Oryzias latipes: one gene and its partner. The protein of the gene in region 1 binds, or shares a complex with, the protein of each later gene. Links are inferred from orthologs where the notes say so. Each region holds a gene or a part of one and is shown on either strand. Other genes may lie near its edges.

The links. Proteins that work in one complex are often made in the same cells at the same time.
Region 2: ahi1 (region 1) and tmem67 share a complex: the UniProt entries of both Homo sapiens proteins name them as parts of the tectonic-like complex. The link is inferred for Oryzias latipes from reciprocal best matches to the Homo sapiens genes AHI1 and TMEM67.

What each region holds. Positions count from the first base shown.
Region 1 is NC_019880.2:267,555-270,620, forward strand, and holds the end of ahi1 (jouberin), read left to right. Parts: intron 1-1,653; exon of another isoform or gene 1,654-1,875; coding exon 1,876-1,964; exon of another isoform or gene 1,965-2,056; intron 2,057-2,063; coding exon 2,064-2,232; 3' UTR 2,233-2,420; downstream 2,421-3,066. Other genes in the region: MFS-type transporter SLC18B1, read right to left, coding at 2,601-2,640, 2,709-2,755, 2,879-2,972, 3,044-3,066. UniProt on the Homo sapiens protein: Involved in vesicle trafficking and required for ciliogenesis, formation of primary non-motile cilium, and recruitment of RAB8A to the basal body of primary cilium.
Region 2 is NC_019874.2:17,687,593-17,690,839, reverse strand, and holds part of tmem67 (meckelin), read right to left. Parts: intron 2,981-3,247; coding exon 2,917-2,980; intron 2,820-2,916; coding exon 2,748-2,819; intron 2,665-2,747; coding exon 2,602-2,664; intron 2,346-2,601; coding exon 2,191-2,345; intron 2,086-2,190; coding exon 1,977-2,085; intron 1,853-1,976; coding exon 1,766-1,852; intron 1,446-1,765; coding exon 1,380-1,445; intron 1,285-1,379; coding exon 1,131-1,284; intron 1,054-1,130; coding exon 933-1,053; intron 850-932; coding exon 744-849; intron 531-743; coding exon 474-530; intron 369-473; coding exon 270-368; intron 193-269; coding exon 94-192; intron 1-93. UniProt on the Homo sapiens protein: Required for ciliary structure and function. Part of the tectonic-like complex which is required for tissue-specific ciliogenesis and may regulate ciliary membrane composition.

The DNA.
Region 1 (3,066 bases):
GTCTATAGTTGGCCAAGATGCTAGGATCCAAACTGGGCTTTTTCAGTAGAGGTTTAACAACTGCATATTTAAAAGACTGTGGCACGTAACCCGTTTCCAGAGAGGTATTTATCATTGTTAATATGGGATCATTAATTAGGGGAAAAGTTTCTTTAAAAAGTCTAGTGGGAATTGGGTCTAACAGACACGTTGAGGATTTGGAGGACGTAATAATTGATGTTATTTCCGCTTGATCCACAGCAGTGAAGCAGTCCAATGTTACAGAGGTTTCTATGGATGCCTCCATTTCTACCGCTTCAGCCTGTTCTGGGCTGATAGTAGGAATAACTTGATTTAACTTATGTCTAATATTTGAGATTTTACTATCGAAAAATGTAAGAAAATCATCAGAGCTGAGAGAAACAGGAACATGTGGTTCTACTGAGCTCTGACTGCGAGTTAATTTAGCTATAGTGCTAAAAAGAAATCTTGGATTGTTTCCATTCTCTGATATTAAGGTTGAATAGTACTGGCTTCTAGCTCTACGCAGAGCTTTTTTATAATTTAATAGGCTATGTTTCCAGGTATTCAGAGACTGCTCTGAACCGGAGCGGCGCCATTCTCTTTCCAACTTACGGGTTTCTTGTTTAAGAGAACGAGTTTCAGCGTTAAACCACGGTGCTACTCGGTTTTGTCTAACAAACTTAGGTTTCAAGGGGGCAACAACATGGAGTGTACTCCTGAGGGCTTGTAAGGCATCATTAACAAAGTGGTCATTTATACTAGGACTGATACTATGGGAGCTGGTCTCAGAGTATTTTCTCAGAATATCACTAAGTACTGGCTGAACTGTGTGTTTAAACTCAGACACAGAACGGTCAGTTAAGGTTCTTCTAAGCTGTTTCTTATTCACTGGGACAGAAGGATGTTCCAGTGTAAACTGGAAGGTAATCAGAAAGTGATCAGAAATGATGGGGTTAAGAGGAAGGACACTCAGCTGGCTGATCTCTATCCCATGGGTTAGAACAAGGTCCAGGGTGTGCTTATGACAGTGAGTGGGTTCATTCACACTTTACAAACACATTACAAACTCCCCTCAACAGGAGTACATTTGGTTTTGGTTCCTGGAATGTTAAGACGCTTCCATTAATAATCAAATGATCCAGCAGGATCACGCCCCCCTGCTGGCCGAGCGGGAAGTGCAACATTTTTATATATGATATATGATATATTTATCATATCATCATATTTTATATGATGTCTGGGTGGTTCTGGACTGGTCCGGACCCTTTGAGAACTTCCCATCAGGCAGTTAAAGTGGTGATTACAGAAGTAACAAATGATAGATCTGACCGTTAAAGATCAACCACAGACCATCGGCTCTGCATCCAGCCATGAACCGGTTTAACATATATTAATATATATATTGAACATATTCTGTAATCTGTTGGCGAGACCGTAGTTTTCTGATTCAAAGACCCACTCCGATGGCATCGGTGATTTAACATGTACTGGTGGCCTTTTCTCACAATGGAGAACTTGCATAAAAGAAGATTAAAATGCATATCTGAGTATTTCTATATTCAAATTGTTGAGCAGCAAGTGAAATGGGCGGGGCCACAAGCTCCCTGCTCGCTCCGTTCTGGGAAGCCTTTGAAAACAGACCAGAAGATGGTCAGTTTCTTTTTTTATTAGACATGAACCAAACTCTGCCTTCTCTGCTCATGTTAATGCAAACTAAAGTATTGACTGACTTCATGCTGAACAAAGACCATCTTCCTGAAATCCGGCTTATATTTAACAGGAAGACGGCCGATCCGGATCATTCAGGAATGTCATGATCTAAAGACGGACTTTGTCTGAACTGTTCCTCTCTGACCCCCTCCTGGTTTTCAGGTCTCTGCTGCTGTCAGCTCGTCCGGAGAGCTCAGGTTTCTGTCCGAACCCACTCTGTCAGACACTGAACCAGAACTGACTGACGCCAGGTAAGAAGCTCCTATATCCTCCAGAACCACACAGATCCAGTTACCCCAACACAAACATGTCTGGCTGAGTTCCTGAAGGATCCATTTCTTTCCTGAAAGCAGAACCAGAAGAAAGAAGAAGGTGAAAAAGCCTGGAGTTCCTGTGTCTTCATCTCAGACTACAGTTTCTGACGCAGATACTTCTGGGTCGACCAGAACCATAAGAGGCAGACCTCTGCCACCGAGACCAGCGGGGAGGTCCAACAGGGCCTTTGAGGCCGACACGTAAACTGTGGACAAACCCAGAGAGCCGTTCTGATGTCACTAATACTCCACAGCATTATTGCTGCGTTCTCCGTCAGAAATTACCCAAAGATCTTTGGTGTTTGAGGCTGCAGGTGTTTGTGTGAGGAACAAGAACATTGTGTTCAGGAAAGTTTTATTTTGTACTATTTACAGTAAAAACCCGTGAAACAAGCGGCTCCGTGTGAACAGGATTCCTGTCCGCTCTCTGGAGGTTTTTGGGGGAATAATCCCGCTCACCAGACCTAAGCTGTTAAGCAGGAAAAGCTCCGGACAAAGGCCCGTTCTGGCAGGAATGGCGTTCAGATCTTCTCTCCGTGAGCAGAGCGGCTGGCCCCGCCCCTAGATGTTTCCTCAGTCCAGCAAAGGAGTGCTTTCTGCTGTTTGCTGCACGCTGCAAAGACAGAAACTCTCAGACTTCAGGTTGATGAGGAAGATTCCTGATGATGGATCTGACGTTACCTCCCCCGCCGGCGCTCCCAGAGGGAGTACATCCCCAGGAGGAGGGCCTGTGGACAGAGACAGCTTCACTGCACAAAGGGTTAATGATTGATCAGAGCTAATCACATTCATGACTCCTTCAAAGTGGGTCAAAGATGAGGACCCACCCCCGCAGAGTCAGGAGTACTCACAGCCAGAAGGCCCACGCCCCCCTGGATGGTGGCGGCCCACTCAAAGGTCAGATGTTGGGTGATAAGGCCGCCCACAATGGGGCCGTAAAACATTCTGTAAGAGACGACCACACTTCAGGCCAGAAACATCAAAGACATGCAGCGATTCTGTGGTGGGACGCTCACCCCGTGGACCAAAATGCACCAAA
Region 2 (3,247 bases), on another chromosome or scaffold:
AAGAGATAAAGCACAGTAAGACATGACAGAGTTTAAAGACTCATCATACTCTAGAAATAAATTATTTGTTTAAGTTTGAGGGACTCAACATACCTTGTAAAATATGAGCCAGTAAAGCCCAGTTCCCACAGTTACGGCAAAGAAAACATTAGCCAAATCTCCAGCATAAAACAACAGAAACTTTAGCATTGTCTAAAGAGGAGGAGAAAAAGGGCAATGTTCATATAAGGTTTTGTGCTTGAAATTATGCGTTTGATTAGAGACGGTACCTCCATGTCAATTAGGGGAGAGGCAATCCTCCGCTTCCAGCTAACTGTCTTTAGAATGGAATAGAGCGCCGCCAGGCCTCCCAGAACGCCCAGAGCAGTCTGTGCACACATAGCCCAAAATATACCACTGTTTGCTTTGATCCCAACGGTACAAAAAAAAAAAAAATGAACATTTTCCATTATTCCATTTTTGCATCGACTCACATCTGTCTTTGTGCGGGCCTCGCTCTGATCCATTTCATACTCCACAGAAAATGTCACCTATAAAAGATGCACACTGTGTTGAACCAAAGTTTTTGTGAAGATCTTTCAAATTGGTTAAAAGCTTCCCTTATCACAAAAATAATTAAGGTTCTTAAATGCCTTCACTTTTGAAAAATTTCAATGATACATTTTGCGTTTAATCAAAGCTTTGTTCTTGCTTCTGTAGGTAGAAAAACATTGTTGGGCATTCTTGAATTTCAGCCTACTCACAGGTAGAGTCTGGCTGTTGGCCTCCTTGATAAGAACATCTGTGTAGCTCACAGACACCAGAGGGGGATAGATCTGTCCCTCCTGAGTACGCGGAACCAGCTGGAACCTACCAAACACCATCACCAAATTCACATTATAGTCGGGAAAAGCAAGTTTCCAAAGCTTTTTGAATCCATTTTAATAGTTTACCTAATCTTGATACTAGTGGCCACCCGGATGACTTTAGGCAAAGAGCTTAGAGTTTTCTCTCTCCCACTTAATGTATCAACAAGAAAGATGCGTCGAGACAGATACCAGTTCTGCATGCTCCCTGGAAATAAAAATAAAATTAAATAAGATATCACAGATAAAATAAACAAAATGTGAACATCAAAGATAAAAATCCACCTTGATTGATGAACTGCCCATTATACTGCTGATTCTGAACTAGAGTTGGCAGAGGAAGAAGTTTTCTGTTGTCTCCTCCGCCCAGGTCCATGAACACATCGTAGAATAACGGCTCGGGATGTGTAGTGAGAAGTTCTGCTACTGAAAGCTCGCACTTTACACACAGAGTAAAAACAAATTAATAACACAATTATATGACTGGACAATACCAGTTTGTAGACTTTTAAGCAAAAGGGGTCTGACACTCACAGTTTCCTGATAAGTGGTCCCAAAGCTGAAGGCTGCTGCCTGCTTGAAGGCTTGTTCTGGACAAAGCTAAGAAACAAGACAGTTTGTCAACTCTCTATGCTAAATGGACAAGAAATGTTTCATTAAGTGGGTAAAACAGCAACAAAAAAATGTATTTATAAATGTAAACAAACATATTCAACATAGATAAATTTAACTTACAAAATAATCTTTGATTTATTTAATGAACTTTAGAGTTTAACAATAAGCCACATAAATATGTCAGTGATTTAGTTTACGGTAAATCTGATCTGATCATGTCCATCTCAGATCTAGAATACTTATTTTCCTGAGTCCAAATCAAATACTTCAGATACTTCAAATACTTTTTTTTTTGAAGCTCTTACCTGCAGGTTGTTTCCTCCAATGGGATCCCATCTGAGAAAGTCTCCTCTGACATTGTAGACAGCAGCAAGCAGCTGGATGTCAGTGTTCTGACAAAAACATACCACTTTGAATTAAAATGTGCATTTCTTAGTATTCAAAACAAATGGGGATATTTGTGTTAGCTTATCAGAATCTTTGAAAAGACTTGTAAAAAAAAAAAGAATCGCTAACCTTTTTTGTTCCTCTGAAACTGAAAGACAAGGGAACAGGTTTATTTTGGAGCACTTGGCCCGCCAGGCCCGGCTCATCTCCATAGTAAAGCCAAGGCAGGTTGGCCCTCCTGCCGACAAGAGTATCATATCTGTTTAGTGTCTGTTTTTTTTAATGTAAGGTAATTGCTGCATGAACAATGTAAAAAAGGAAAATCCAAATCAAACGTGAATACCAGTAAGAAATGTCTTGAACAGAGCTCAGAGCAGCCTTTGACCTAGAGATGGTGTTAAAGAGACCACAAGCATCTGTGGAAAGTCCAGTGAAGGAGTGCATGTTCATAACACACATGTTTCCGAGAGCCTGACACGCTGTCAAGTTGCTGAAGACCTGTGGGGAAAAAAACAAAAATATGATTTTCTTTTAATAAAACTCTAACTACAAAATTAATTTGGTGAAAAACGTATGTTTAAATCTGTTACAGTACATTCTAAAAATAATTTCGGTAAGAATTCTAACGATTGTTTATGGGAACATTTAAAGCTGTTTGTCCAAATTTAGGAAGGAAATTGACTTCAAGAAAAACAAACATGTTAAGTCATAATTTTTCTAAGAAAAAGAAGTTTTGTAAAGGCTGTGAAATTACAAGGCAAGCTGCTGCAGAAGAATAGAGGTTTTCCACAAACCAGGCAGACTGGATGCTAAACGCCTGTGAAGAAAATGAAAGAAAATCACAAGCAGGAAAAACATACAAGTATTATTTTCTAGGAAGAGAATTACACTTTGACTTACCAACTGAGCATAGCTGACACTTGGATTCACATTAGTGGAGAAGCTGCCTGGAGGAAAACATAAACCTCCAGCCTGCAAAAAATTACATTCACAATCATTTGTGATTTTGTGACTGCAACAGATTTCTGTGGATTTAGGGAATGTGCGGGTAGTAGATGACCAAACTCACCTGGACATTTGGGGATTGACACGTACAGAAGGTATTAGAGAAGGTAGCCTGGCATCGCTCACATCTGAAAGATAATTTTTGATATTGTATTGTTCATAAAAAAAACGATTACCGGTAACTTTTTCTCTAACTGCATCAACTCAACCAACAGTTCTACAGTAGTAATGGAGAGCAGGTATGATGGTCCAATATGGCATAAAAAGAGAAAATTGTTATAGCATAAGAAAATGTAGCTCGTGCTCATTAGAAACACGTGGAAATCAAGAAGAAAAAAGCAGAAACCAGTAAAGAAATTCAAAAAACAAAACAATAAACAACTACTGGATATTAA